2 linked regions of the Drosophila melanogaster genome follow. The protein of the gene in region 2 purifies or fractionates together with the protein of the main gene of each other region. This does not show direct contact. Each region holds a gene or a part of one and is shown on either strand. Other genes may lie near its edges.

Region 1 (7,302 bases), on a different chromosome or scaffold from region 2:
GTCCCATAAAATGTGTTGTTTATGCGTTATGTTTTTGGCCAACTGCGGCGACCAATTTTCGCCCGCAAGATTTTCACATTAAAAATGGCTCGGCAAAAACAAATTAAGAAAGAAGTATGCGAAAATGATCGCTCGGCGCAGCTGCAAATGCGGCTGCTTCTTCTTCCCGTTCTGATCAGAGCGCGAGGGAGTTCATCGCTTCGTCTCTTTTGTTTGTTGCTTTTCATTTGTGTGGCGTGAAATTCTTATTTGATTTATGACCAGCTGTGGGTGCAAAAGAGACAGACAGCCGCTCAACTGGTGTACGCACAGAAATCAAATCACAACGCATGCTGGCAATTAATTATCAAGTCTCATAATCACCATTCATAAATAAAACAAACACACACGCACACGCTAGTGTGTTCCCATAAGAATACTTTCGCTTTCTATTCGGAGTCTCAAAAGAGAGACACAAAAAAAATACCGAAATTATGTAATTCTCTCGTTCGTGCTACTTAAATAATAATAACAGTTAAAGCCGGAAAAAATAAGTACAAATAAGTGTGACGCGCACCCACACAGCACTAATTTTCTGATTGGGAGGTGCGGCCTCCAGACCCATACACACACACACACGTACACGCATTACACGCACTTACCTTTTGTTGTTTTTCCTTCTTTTTTATTATTGTATTTTCGTTTGTTTGCCTTCGCTCTCTTTCGCTCTCCTAGCTGCCGCTGTGTTGTTGTTGCTGCTGCTGCTTGTGCTGCTTCTTCAACATTGGTTCATTCATGCAATAGATCCCAAATGTTTCCATTTTACCTTGATCCTGCCATCAGGATTGCATTTATTTCCGCCAAAACGGGTTGCCTGGCTTTGTTCACACACAAATAAGCTCGAAACACACACATGTGCGTTAAATAGTGGCTAATTGCGCGGAATAGCAACAACAAATCGCGACTTTTATTATGATTTCACATTCTTTCGGAAAACCACAAACGCACTCACACTTACACACACACACGCACGCCAAGTGCAGTTGCCGGCGTTGTTGGAGCGAGCGAGAGGCAAGATGCAAGACGCGAGGGGAACGGGCCGAAAAAGAAGAAGACGCCCACGCCGCGAATCGAATCGTTAAATATACTATTCACTGCATGCACTTCAGCGGAGCTCCCTGGCTATTTATTTTGGGGCAGTGCGCAGCTCGACGCTCGTTGAGTAACTGAACTCACCACCAATTGGAATTCTTGGCCAAACAACGCGAGCAGCTGATGTCGCATGGTGGGAAAATGAGGGTGGCGCGAGTGGAAGTTGCCATATCGCTGCGATCACAAGCAGCAAATATGGAAGATTAAGCGGAAAACGAAAGACAAAATAATTACAATCAAACAACCGAATTATAAAAAGAAAATGGTTAGTCCTCCGAGTTCGTTTAAATATGCTTATCTACGTATCAATTAAAAAAACCGTTGAAAGAAATTCACGATTCGCCCTAATCTAGCTAAGACACCAACCAAAAATTTCCGATTTACTTTCAGTTGAAGTGTGTACACACTTTTCTTGTCGATGTTTGAAGCGCCATTGAAATGATCATTTGAATGTTTTCAAATTACCACATCATTACAATAAATTAAATTGCTTATTATTTGATTTTTACTGGGAAATCCGTGCAAATGGAATTACAATTCAGCTTGAATCGTCAAACTTACAACATAAACTTATTGTTCTTTTCGGACAAATGCTTCGAGGAGCGCTTGGCGTCAAGGAAGAGCGAGTGCACATCCTCGATATCATCCTTGCTGATCTGGTTGCGTCCGTTCACCTTGCACATCTGATGAGCCGGGGTCAGCAGCTGGACGGCGTAGCGCAGCGTGGAGCTGGTTCCAATCTCGCTGAGACGTGTAAATGCGTTCTCCTCCAGCTGCAGTCCCTCGGTCTGGGCGCGCAACTTGATTATCTGCTCCATGTCGGCAGTGGAGTAGAGTAGTGTGCGGATGATCAGCAAACGATCGAGCAGATCTAGCGGAATTCCGTGCGGCGAAACTATGTCGGTGGTGCCACTGGAAAGAGGTAACTCTTATTAATAATGCGAATAGGTTTTACGAGCTAAGTATTTCTAACCGAATAACACAGCGTCCACGATTGGTGGCAAAAATCACAATTGGTGCAATGGGAGATTCCAGGGACTTGTGTAGGTAGGTGAAGGTCTCCAAATCAAGCATGTGAATTTCATCGATGAAGAGAACTCCGGGAACCAGCTCGGCTATGCCCTGGTCAATGTACTTGTTTACCACCTTGTTGATCTCCATGCGTAGTTTGTCTGCTCATCAAATGGTATTTTAGTAAATTTGAATGGGAAGAAAATTACACAACTAACCAGTGATTTCAGTTTTCTTCGGCTTCATAAGCTGGCCCATCATGGAGAGCACATCCTGGCCGCCCTGTGGACGAGCATTGGCCACATCCAGATCGTGCAGAGTAACATCCTGGATAACCTCCTTCTTCTTGTGGACATCGCCCTTGGGCAGCGGCACATACTCCTCGGTTTCGAGATCAAACTCAGTGGCAAAGGTGTCACTGCGACCCTGACGCTTTACGGCACCACTGTTGGCCTCTATGTAGATGACATCGCCCACCTCCACCTTTTCCTTTTGCAAGGCATCAAAGATGCTGGGATCCAGCTTGAGCTGCTTGGTTCCCTTGGCTGTTTTCAAGCCGATGACGACATTGCTGATAGTCTTGCCATAGCCACCCATAGGATTCTCGGTTTCCACGGGCGTGAGTTCCGTAACCTCGCCCTCGTACACCTCTTTGGTCTCACGAATGCGCAGACCAATGGAGCGCCGGAAATTCTCCATTAGCACCTCGGTCTTCTTGATCTCATTGCTGAATACCTCCGATCCGACCATGGGACAGAAGGGCACTTTGTTACCCAGCTCCTGGGCAATGGCCAGAGCAATGGCGGTTTTGCCCGTGCCTGGTGGCCCAGCCAGCAGAAGCGCTCGTCCGGCCATCTTTTTCGATTTGATGAGGTCCACCACAATGCCGGCTGCCTCGCGTGCCGCCTTCTGACCCACCAGTCCGGCTGCACTGTGCACGGCAGCTCCAACCTCGTCCAGGCCCAATCCCTTCACATGGCTGTGGGCTGCGATGCGTTGGGTGCGCACGGTGCTCTTGACTTCCTCGATCTTCATGGCGCCTCTAAATCCGTGTCCTGCCTGATGCTAATACTCTGATCCGTTTCCGGTTTCAGCTGTTTTTCGCCCGAGGGAGAGGAAATGTGAAGTCAAGCGTTGCAACGATCAAACAAACTATTGTTTCGTTGCCGTGGATAAAATTTGTTTTTCTGCCGGCGTTTTGATTGGAAATTAGAAGCACACTTTGTTTCCGCAGCCGTTGTTTACAGTGTGACCGTGCGAGTTGGAAATCCAAGCATGTTGCTTGGTACACTGAACCACATGGTAGAAAATAAAATAATTTATAATAAATGTTTTAAATATAATAACAAATATTTTGAGTTAATACTTTACATTTATATTTAATCAAGGTAAGCTAAGATATTTGAGATTTATTTAGTTTTTACCAAGCTGCAAATTATATTACACCTTATACTTTTTTTTAATGACCAGTGTAATTTCACTTGGCACGTTTTAAAGTATTTTGTAGCGTTACGGATACGGTCATATTATAAACAATAAAATCTCGATGGACTCATTTAGCCGTACAAAATATAAACAAATTAATACCAAAAAGACATAATAGTCGCTTTTGAAGTAGATCAAACTTTTATCAAACCATGAGCTGCAACTACGCGGATGGATTGTCAGCCTACGACAACAAGGGAATTTTGGGAGCACCAGAGAGTTTCGACAGCGATGAGGTTGTGGCCGAAAAGTGCCAGGAATTGGCTGAATTGATCAAGAAATCGGGACACGTTGTCCTCCACACGGGAGCTGGGATCAGTACGTCTGCAGGAATTCCGGATTTCCGCGGACCCAAGGGCGTTTGGACCCTGGAGGAGAAGGGCGAGAAGCCGGACTTCAATGTTTCCTTCGATGAAGCCAGACCAACTAAAACCCACATGGCTATCATAGCCCTGATTGAAAGTGGCTATGTGCAGTACGTAATCTCACAGAATATTGATGGTCTCCACTTGAAATCCGGACTGGATCGGAAGTATCTTTCCGAATTGCACGGCAACATTTACATCGAACAGTGTAAGAAATGCAGACGGCAATTTGTGAGCCCATCTGCCGTGGAAACAGTGGGTCAAAAATCCCTGCAACGTGCCTGCAAGTCTTCAATGGATAGCAAAGGTCGTAGCTGTAGATCGGGAATCCTATACGATAACGTTCTGGACTGGGAGCACGATCTTCCCGAAAACGACCTCGAAATGGGTGTGATGCACTCCACCGTCGCTGACCTAAATATTGCGCTTGGAACCACTTTGCAGATCGTTCCCAGCGGAGACCTTCCTTTAAAGAATCTAAAATGCGGTGGAAAATTTGTCATTTGTAATCTGCAGCCCACAAAACATGACAAAAAGGCTAACTTAATCATATCCAGTTATGTGGATGTGGTTTTGTCCAAAGTTTGTAAACTATTGGGTGTTGAGATACCCGAATATTCGGAGGCTTCCGATCCTACAAAGCAGTCCAAGCCAATGGAGTGGACAATACCCACAAGCAATGTAAATACCTTTCACAGACAATATAAAAAGTATGTTTATTTTATTTATTATTTATTATGATAGATAGAATAGTTTACAAAACTAGACTAACTTAGATAGTATAGCATTAGCTACGGGGCTTACAGCTATATTTATTTACAATGTTATTATATCTTAATTTAGTTAATATCTAATTTGGTAACTAATTGCTGGCTTGTTATGTACAAATGCCTGTTTTGTTTTTAGATTTTGTGGTATAATTTAGTTTTTTTGAGGAAAAGTATGAGTTTTTGTATGTTATCTGGATTGGGTTTGCTAAGAAGGTCTAGAGGGTTGGTGTTGTTAAATATATCTTGTTTGGTTTGTAGGAGGGATGGGCATGAGTTAAATATGTGGTTTAAAGAAATATCACCTTGGCAAAACGGGCAAGTTGGTATTGAATTGGGATTTAGGTAGTGTTGGTGGGTTATGTTTGTGTGTCCTAGTCGAAGTCGTATTATTTTTATTTGGTCGAGTCTGGTCCAATTTGGGTGGGATTGTTTAAGGTAATCGCATGGGTGTGAGGTGTTCGTGTTAATAGATTGGTACCATGGACTGCAGTTTATTATGTGTTCTTTCTGTTTTGTCGCAAGGTCGGCTTTAAGGTGTTTTTTTATATCTGTGGTATTTATGTTTGGGGTGAGGATAAGTGGCATACTGCTTGCTGATTTTGCAGCTTGATCGGCTAATTCATTTCCTTTTATTCCTGAATGGCCAGGAATCCACATTATTTTAATTTTAGGTGCGTGTTGCGTTATTAGCGATCGTATTCTGCTTGGGTAAAAGCTGTTATTATTTGTGTTTTGAATTGAATCTACTGCTGATAGGGAGTCGGAGCAGATAATAAATTTGCCTCTTCGGTTTTTAGTAAGTTCTATTGCTTCTAGGATGGCGATTGTTTCGGAGGTGAGGACGGATGAATATGGGGGCAGTATGCCGTATTTCAAGACGTCTGTCTCCGTTGTAATGGCGAATGATATTGTGTAATTAATTTTTGAACCGTCAGTGAATATGAAATTGTGTGTTTTGAGGTTATTCTTTGTGTGTTCGTATAATTTTCTGTATTGGTCTGGAGATGTTTGTTCTTTCTTATGGATTCTAAGTGACGTGTCTATTAGATTGGGGAGGGTCCATGGTGGTTTGTTTTTATGGAGTTTTATTGGTTTGTAGGGTAGATTAAGTTCTAGGCTAAGTTTGATTGTTCGGTCTATTGTTGATGTTTTTTTTTTTATTAGCTTTTTTAGGCTTTAAGAACTTATGTATTGGTGTGTTTTTGGAGAGGATTAGGTTTTGGGATAGTTTGGCTATTTGAAGGTCTCGTTTCATTTCTAAGGGGGGAGTATTCGATTCGTAAAGTAAGTTATTTATTGGGGTAGAGCGATATGCGCCGAGAGCTAGACGGATAGCGGAGTTAAACGGTGTTTTTATTTTGTTTAAAATGCTTTTGGGAGCATGGCCGTACAGAAACAAACCATACTCTAGTTTGGCTATAATTGTTGCTTTTGCGACATTAAGTAGTGTATGCGTGTTGCAGTTAAATTTAAGACTAGATAGGCATTTTATTATATTTAGCTTGTTGTGTAGTTTGGGTAGAAGTAGGTTTATGTGTGTGTTCCATTTGTATTTGTTGTTTAAGGTTATTCCTAGAATTTTTAAGGACGTAACGCTAGGAATTTGGAAGTTGTTGCAGCTTATCTTGCATGTGCAGTGACGTTTTCTGCATATGTGGAGGTGTTGACATTTGGATAGGGAAAGCGATGCCCCTGAGTAGGAGCACCAATTTTCTATATCGTCGAATAGATTGTCTAAGTTGAAATTTGTATTTGTGTTTTTGTTGAAATTTATTATAAGGAAGAAGTCGTCGGCATATGCGTTGAATTTAATTTCTTTATGTAGGGATATGATGTTGGATAATTTGTTGAATGCTATGAGGAAAAGTATTACGGATATGGGTGAACCTTGGGGGATTCCGTTGAATAGGGGTAACGGGCTTGATGTATGCGGACCGACGCGGACAGTTATTTTTCTGTTGCTCATGAAGTTTTTAATGTATTTTATTATTTTGGGACCCGTTTTCCATTCCTGCAATTGCTGGATTATGGAGTGCACACCTACTCGATCGAAGGCTCTTGAAAAATCAAGAGTGACGAGGGAGGTGTGCATTTTTGACTTCGTTATGAGATAGTCTACATAGAGTAGACAGTCCGAAGTCGATTTGCCTTTTTTGAACCCGAATTGTTTGTCGTTAATTAGGTTGTTATATGTCACTAGCCACCAGAGTCTTTTCGCAATTATTTTATCAAGTATCTTTGCTATACAGCAGTTGAGGGAGATGGGTCGGTATGAGGAAGTTTTCGTTTTGTCGGTGTTTGGCTTAAGGATTGGGATGATTAGGCTTGTTTTGTAGGCTTGAGGTATGTGGCTATTGAATATTTCATTAAATAGTTTCGTTATTCGGTTTTTTGTTGTGTGGGAGCTATTTTTGATCATTTGATACGAGATTCTATTTAGTCCTGGAGCACATCCTTTTAATGTTTGTAGTGCTGAGCTAAGTTCTAGATACGTTATGTTCTCTTCTATGGTTTGGGCTATTGGAGAGGGGGTGTAGAGA
Region 2 (7,935 bases):
CACCGCCTCGTTCTCGATGGGATTCAGTGAGCAGGTGGAGTACACCAGCCTTCCGCCAACCTCCAGCATCTCAGCGCCACGACGTACGATGCGGTATTGAATGCCGTGGAGGTTGTAGGCCTGTGCCAGGTTCCACTTCAGCCAAATGTCTGGATTCTTGCGCAGTGTGCCGTCGCCGGAGCAAGGTACATCGCACAAGATCTTATCGAACTTAAGGATCGCCTTTGAGCCGTCCGGCTTCGTGGTCACGAGATTGGGAAAGACACTGCTGTCGTGGTTGGTCACCAACAGGCAGGGCGAGTTTAGACGCTTGGCTTGGTGAACCAGCATGTAGCACCGATTGTTGTCTACATCGTTGGCCAGCACAAAGCCGGGCGGAATCTTGTGCTCCTCGGGAGCAGCGTGCAGAGCCTCAATGAGCTGGGCTGTCTTCGAACCTGGCGCAGCACACATGTCCAAAACTTTGTCCGTGGGTCGGACATCCAGGACAATTGGCGGGATCATGGATACGGCCTCCTGCCTGCTGATGCCGCCCGCCGTGGTCTCCACAATTAGGAAGTTGTGCAGCCGGTAGAGCGGCTCCGAGCGTCGAATGTCCTTGCGGGTAAGGTGCAGCTGGTAGGCCAGTCCGTTTGGATACCACGGCAGGCACAGCGGACGTTCCACATCCTCGGGCGCCTTCTGGTGCAGCTCGGCCACCGCCCTCACATACTCGGTGAATAGCTGCGTCTCAATAATGGATAGCAGGGCTTTGGCCTCGTCCTTGAATCCTGTCACACGGAAAGTAGTGGGCAGATTGTCCCTGATGGAAGCAAGGAACTGCGTCCACTCCTCATCGGTGGCGCAGATCTTCTGCAGTTGGTAGTACTTGATGAAGAAGGCATTATCCCTTTTGATCTCCTCATACGGCTGGGCCTGACGATCGGTGCGCTTGGGACCCTTTAAGATAAAAAATATATTTAAGAATAAAATCCAAAAACGTGGAATGTTTCTCCTTTCAAATTGAGGTGACTCACATTCTCCCGCTTTTGACGTTTGCGAGCCGCGAAAAAATTTTGCTTCTGGTTTCGACCCATTTGTCAATATCAATACCAAGTTATCAGTCCACTGAATATGTTTAAAAAAAATTAGGCAAGCGTTGTGTGTTTTCTAAACGAAACGAATAGTTAAAACGTGTTCGTCGCCTAACTGGCAACGCTGTCGCGCGAGAGTCGCCGGACATTTGGTGCTTGGAAGGGAAGGTGAAATATGCTGCTAAAGAAGTGAAATTGAATTGAAAGGGAATTACTTTTTACAGTACTTGGTTTCCGTGCTGCAAGGAATTGACTTGTTTTTAAACGTTAACTTCATTTGCATGGCTTACATTTTTAGCCCCAAAATCAATAAGAGCTGGTTTCCCAACTATCGGTAAGCAAAATCAAACAACTTATTTCAGTTTTCTAGAAACTTTAAAAACCTGTTAGTTTATGTAAGGAAACCTACATATCTTGTTGTTATTTACATTTTCGAATTATTTTCATTTTTTTTTTATATAGTTATTAATAGCCAAATTTGACTCGAACATAGCTACGCGCCTATCGTTACAAAAATCTCCGTTAGCCGACTTCAAATGCTACCGATAGCAGCTGCGAAAGCGATAGCGTCGGCAATCGAATCCGAATTTCCCACTTTAAAAACTAAGAAGTTTTTGTAAGCCACTATGGAAACTCCACCCACTCCCACCACGACCACACCGCCATCATTGACAACTGAGGGCACCATGGACGACATCCAATACCTGCTGCACCTGGAGGCGATGCGCCGTTTTCAGGAAGACAGCCGCAATGTAAAGCGCCAGGTGGAGGAGCAAGTACGCATTTGGCTGGACGCCAAGTGTGAGTATCAGCGGGACTTTGGGCGGCTGGCGAGGCTCCTGAAGTGCGGAGCCCTGCAGGCGGCCGTGGATGCCCATCGTGTATCTGATGTGAATCAAGTCGACCAGGCGGCCAAGGATATCGCTAGTTTGCGATCCAAACTGGGCAGTGATCTGCGTCCCGCCATTCTGGACTCCAACGATGTGAAGCAGTGCCTGGAACATCTGAACACCACCCACAAACCGCGCCTAAATCTATGCCGGCAACAACGGGAGTTCGCCCAGAACCAAGAAGCTCTAAGAAGTTTGCGTACCGCCGTCGATGGATTGGAGAATGGTATGGAGATGGGCATGATACAGGCAATGGACCGCCTTGTGGAGGATCTTCTCCCACCGCGGGAAACAAACAACTAGCCGGTCGTCTCAAAAGTATATATAATATTGTATGATATAAACTAGTTTATAACATTAAAAACGGAAACTGTAAATGAAAACTACAAGCTACAACGAAGCCAGGATCATCCGATGAAGAATATTGGTAGCGGAAATCTAAAAACAAAAAAAAACGGATTCAAAGCTGTTTAAACTCAGTTATTTATACGGAGAAGATGAGGAGATTACCATTTGGAGCGCTTGGACCAGTCTTTGGGTGTCCAGTGCAGGCATTTCGAGTCGATGCGGATCTTGCGCTTGTCCATTGCTCGCCGGTGTTGCTCGATGATAACCCGGTTGATGCACACGATGTACTGGCCCTTGTAGTAGTTGATCAGGTTCAGGTTCTGCAGCGTTGAGATCACGTCCTCTTTTTTGATGGATGTGCATTCGCAGATGTCGCTGTGAAGAAAAATTTTGGGAGCATGATTAATCTATGTTTCGGCAATGAAGCACAATCTCTGTGGATTGAAAATTGTATTACTTTAAGCTTAGAACTAGCCATACTTTATAGTTATAGTGGGCTTTTCGCCGTCCGTGCTCGGGTTTTGGCTGATAAAGATCTCCAGTATGGTTTGCGCCCAGTACGATCGATAGGACAGCAAACCCAGATCAGACAATGGTTTCTCCGGCGATCCCGTCTTGCCCTCGAACTTGGACAACTCGTAGCTGAACTCAATGAGCAGCTTGCCGTAGCCCTTGCGCTGATACGGAGGCATTGTGAGAATGCAGGCCACGTTGTAGTCCTCTGTGCTCTCCTTCTCCTTGGAGAAGTACCCTACTATGTGGAAGCCGCGCGAGTCGAACTCTGTCATTACGTAGAAGAGAAACGGATCGGTATCATAGTAGAGTGTCTTGTGGTCGAGAAAGAGTTTGGCAAGCAGGCACAAGTTCTGGGCATACACCTTGTTTTTGCGTCCATCGATTTCAAAGAAGGAAATTGTATGTTTGCGATAGATCTCGTTTCCCGGTGGATGCCTAAGATTGCACTTGGACAGGTGCCTCTCCAGGCACTTCCTGCTCTTCCTGTACTTCAGGCAGAACTCGCAGATGTAGATGCAGGGCATTTGACACAGCTCTTGCGGATAGGGTGAGAAATACCAGGGCTTAATGCGATGCCTGCCCAGCTCGATCATCTCCACGTTCTTCATGCGGGTGACCACGTCGTCCTGGTGCGTAACCATGCTGCCTGATTGCCTCGGCGTGGGCGTCTTGCCATCCTGCGATCCATCACCATCATCATTGGCCGCTCCGCTTATTAAACCGTCGCCGGTCACATGCACGGGCGTAGCCGTGGGTGTCTGCGGAGTTGTAGGATGCGGATGTGACTGCTGCTGTTGACTGGTCAGACTGTGGTGTCCATGGGCCGAGCCTCCGTGGTTTTTTCGCTTGCGATTGATGCGTTTCTGAAGGGCTGCGGCCAGATTGTTGCCATTCACAAGCTCTCCCCCACTGCTTGGTGTTCCGGGTGGAGCCACAGAGTTTGGAATGCCAGCAGGGGGAGGAACACTGCCTGATGCACCAGTAGGAGTCTGGGGGATGGCTGCCAGAGCCCCGGAACCAGGGTGTTGCGGTGATGTAGGCCGAGAAACGCTGCCCGCTAGGGAATGGTGGCGCTGTGGCGTGGTCACTCCAGTGCTGGTGCCTGTTTGTGAGCCGTCTCTCCGCGGAAATTGCACCTTTCGCGTGTACAGATCCTCCTCGTTGACCCACTCGTCCAAGCGCTTGTTGACTGCGGATTGGCAGTTATACTAAATATGCTCCCACTGGACGACTTGGTACTCACAGTCCACATAGTGCACGTAAAACTGCCGGCGCCCATCCAACTCCTTGATGCTCACAATCTCCGCTAGTGGCCAGTCGTCCGTTTTGTGCATCCTGACGGGTAAACGACATCCCTCGGTTAGGGCGGCCTGCAAGTTTGCGGTTAAAACCATTAGAATGAACACCCAAAACACGCCAAGGCGTAGCGGAACCCACCGTTGACTCGCATATGGAGGCCACATCGTCGTCGAACTCATATTTGTGGTTAATTTTCATTTGTTTATATTTTACGCGTTTTTTTTTTCCTAAAACAGCAGTATTGCCAGATAGCGAAACGTAAATAACTATCGACCAATCGATTACCGCCACAGTGAATCAGCGGTTTAAAAATGTTGATGACATGGGCAGTGCTGCGCAGCGTCGCGTCGCCTTTTCAAAGTGCTGCACAACACAACAACAATTCCAGAGAGTTTTTCAATTCGGGTTCGGTATTTTTTCTCATGTGCCTACTGTGCAATTAAACAATTTCGCCCGCTTACAAACAACTGTAACATATTAAGCACAACCGTTCGACTCAATTGCAGTTGCTAGAACTTGAGTGCGCAGTTATGTGCTCCCTTCTTTTCAGTTGCCAAACCAAAAAATAAAAACGCTGAGAAGGTCAGAGAAATGTACACAGGCGTAAATTTGTGTGCGTGTGTGTGGGTGCGTACATTCGTGTGCGCTCGTGTGAGTGCGCAGAAAGTTATACAGCTGTCATCGACTGGCGTATTTATCAATAAATGACTACTGTGATCCGCGGAAAACTTCAGTTACTGGGTAATTGTGACCACAACTGCTGGGCAACTGTGCCGCAGTGCCCCAATGCTGACGAGCTGAGCGGGAAATTGGTGAAAAAGCTGTGTCAAAATGACGTGTTTTGCGATAGTGTTGCCACTGACAACAGCCGCAGGGCTGCCAACTCGATGGGCATATCCCACTAATTAGTTGCAAAACGGGCAGGCAATCTCGTGTTGATTAGTAAGATGCAAGCCTAGAGCAAACGCCGATTTAGCAATCTCAACGGCTTGCCCCTACAAACAACAAACAGCATTTGTCAACCCTGGCACGCAGCGTAGTTAGCAACACTGCTTTTTAGCCAAAAAAAAAAAAAAATAAAAAAAATGAATATGGAAAGAGACCAGTGCTTTTTAAAGAAATTCGAAGTCAGTGGGCCGCAAGGGGTCGCCAAAGACTAAACAGACGCACCTGCTACCACCCACCGCCCCTTGTCGCTCGTCCGCATGACCAGAACAACAACAAATGCTGCAAAACACCCAGTCAGTGGTCCAATGTCTCAGTTTCAGTTTTAGTCTCAACTTCATCCCCATTTCCCAATCAATTGCAGATCCGTGCGCACACATTTCCGTATTCCGGTCTGTTTGCGAGCAATCCGCATCCCCGTGCCCAGGAACCTACGTAAATGCCGCGAGCAAAGGTTTGAGCCGGAGGAGAGCTACTGACGACAGGCCTGTCAAGTGCAGCAGGAGTCCAAACTGATGCGCAATAGGTGGGCTCCCCTGTGCCTCAAACCGTCTGGAAGTCGAGAGGAATCGTTAGGAATCGGCGGAACAGCCTGCAGAGCACTTGCAGTCGCGGTGGCAACCACACGGCGGCTGGGCAGCTGGGCTACCTAGAAACATCGCGAAGAGAAGAAACAGTTTGTAAGCAGTTAATGGGAATGCGAGATATACCCGTTTACTAAAACAAACATTCCCCTCTTCTCACACGCCCTAACAGATTCGAGGAATTCGAATGGCATTTGTTTTTCTCCTTCGTTGCATGCCACCAAACGAAAGAAGATGAACAATGAACAAACGCCGTCATCATCGGACACACCGGCGGATCGTGTGGCATCTGGTGGAGCAGCTGCCAAACTGCCAACGATCATACCGGACACGCCCATCGTCTCGATTGCCGCTGGCACGATGAGCGAGAGCACCACGACGACCACCGTCACCAAAACAACGCCGACGCCGTTCCCACAGGAGCAGCTTATGACCATGATGTCAGACCATGTGGCGAAGGCAGACGCGCAGCTTGACGAGGCCTGTAGGAACCAGGGGGCCAAAGACGAGGACAGCCAAGGAGCGGCACCAGTGGCTGCCAACCATGTAGCCACCAGCGGCAGTAGCAGCAGAGGCAATGACCCCAAGAAGTCATCATCCCCTAGTAATAGCCATAGCTCTGGTAACCACGCAGCCACGGCAGACGCTGCCAAAGGATCCGCAGCAGAAGCAGCAGCAGGAGATACGTCCTTCTCGCAGGTCTTTGCCATGCTAAAGGATTCGCCCAGCGCTGAACTGTCGCGACCAAACCGCAGGGTACTCCAGTACGGAGCCACTGCCAAGGGCAAGACCCAGGACGATCAGAATGTCGGCAAGCGACAGAAGAAGAAAAAGGTAAGTGCGCTCTGGCTGAGTTGCATCTTAAGGTGGAAATATAGTGCATGTTAAGCAGAAACCGAGTTAAGATATTGTTTTATTAAGAAAAAGGTATAGTTATGTTTGTTACTCGCAAAATTTCACATTTGTGTACGTTCTGGAGGCTCCAAAGCTCTATGGTGTTTGGACTCCATATCTTATGCATGGCCAGGCTTGAATAGAGCTCTACCAGGGCGACTAAGTTGAGAAACAACTAAGTAAACGTAAAATTTGAAACTAATTTCGATTTTGGGTGGAATTCCAGTATTGGACAGCAAGTTGTCCGATCTTTACGTTACCACCAAAACCAAGGTATACATAAATTAGATATAAATATTGTTTATTTGCACACTAAGCTATAAACTAAAATAGATTCTTACGCTTGCGGTCCATTAAAGTTGTCGAAAATGAAAATGCCGAAATCCCCTTAAAACATGACCTTTGGAAAAAACTTTAAGTGAGCCGATTACTCACTCACAAACACTGTTTTATCGAAAACCGAATTTTATTAAAAAAAAAATAAATATTGACAGTCAAATTGCATCCCCCTAATGAATACATACTCACATACATACATATATGTATGCGAATAGAAGCCAAAGTACCGTTTACGAAGTTAATGGCAAAGAATTCGAAAATGATGTAGAAATAGACCAAGCATACTGTTATCTCGTTCTGACTGACTGGGATTGTGGCTTTCGAAATAGTGCCGTTACATTTGGTCCCATCAAGTAATCGCCACACAGGAACTTCAATTTCTGATCGCAGTCGGTTTTTTGACCAGCGCCTTCGATAATTATTGAAATCAAGACCCCGAATCGGGCAGAAGGAACGGATAAAACCGCAAAGCGTTTGTTTATCTTATAAAAGCATTGGTGACATCCGCGGCATTAACCACGAAAACTTCTCGCCTATTCCCGTTATTATTTCAGTTATTGTTTTTTTTTTTTTTTTCTGTTTTCTTGTGTTCGTGTGCAACACCATATAGTACACATGTGTGTGCGTATGTAGAGCGTTTACTTACTGGAACCGTGTGCCATTTAATACTTCTATTGCTCTGCGGTCGGTACTTCATCAGTTCGCATAAGGAACTCAGAAGGGCATGTGTTTGGAATAAGTGGAGCTCCGAATTCTTTTGTTTTTTTTTTTTTAGGTTAAGTCGCAGCGATTATTGTTTTACACGCATATGTGTTCGTGTTGATGACCCGAAAAATTGCAAAACTAATTGCCAAATATTGTTCTTCGACGCTTTTGCAGACAAAATACGATACCTGGGAAGATAGCGATTTTAATGATCTGGACGACGCATCATTGAAGAAACTTCTCGAAGAGGCCTACTGGTATCGAAATCCTGGCGACAGGAAGAACAAGAGCGAGCGATTTCTGGTAAGTTTTGGCTCATGTATGTGCAACATATATATGTGT

Evidence for each region. The genes of interacting proteins can lie anywhere in the genome.
Region 1: the proteins of Tip60 (region 2) and pont purify together in Drosophila melanogaster (affinity purification with western blotting; one study listed by BioGRID). This does not show direct contact.

What each region holds. Positions count from the first base shown.
Region 1 is NT_033777.3:10,258,218-10,265,519, reverse strand, and holds pont (pontin), read right to left. Parts: upstream 3,398-7,302; 5' UTR 3,178-3,397; coding exon 2,361-3,177; intron 2,304-2,360; coding exon 2,105-2,303; intron 2,044-2,104; coding exon 1,689-2,043; 3' UTR 1,621-1,688; downstream 1-1,620. UniProt on the Drosophila melanogaster protein: Acts as a transcriptional coactivator in Wg signaling caused by altered arm signaling. Pont and rept interfere antagonistically with nuclear arm signaling function, and are required to enhance or reduce arm activity, respectively.
Region 2 is NC_004354.4:4,112,529-4,120,463, forward strand, and holds Tip60 (Tat interactive protein 60kDa), read right to left. Parts: upstream 4,960-7,935; 5' UTR 4,325-4,959; coding exon 4,265-4,324; intron 4,198-4,264; coding exon 4,071-4,197; intron 4,017-4,070; coding exon 2,792-4,016; coding exon of another isoform or gene 2,782-2,791; exon of another isoform or gene 2,769-2,781; intron 2,687-2,768; coding exon 2,474-2,686; intron 2,402-2,473; coding exon 2,401-2,401; 3' UTR 2,272-2,400; downstream 1-2,271. Other genes in the region: Nsun2 (NOP2-Sun domain family, member 2), read right to left, coding at 1-939, 1,017-1,076; dgt4 (dim gamma-tubulin 4), read left to right, coding at 1,700-2,266; tyf (twenty-four), read left to right, coding at 5,890-6,489, 7,768-7,896.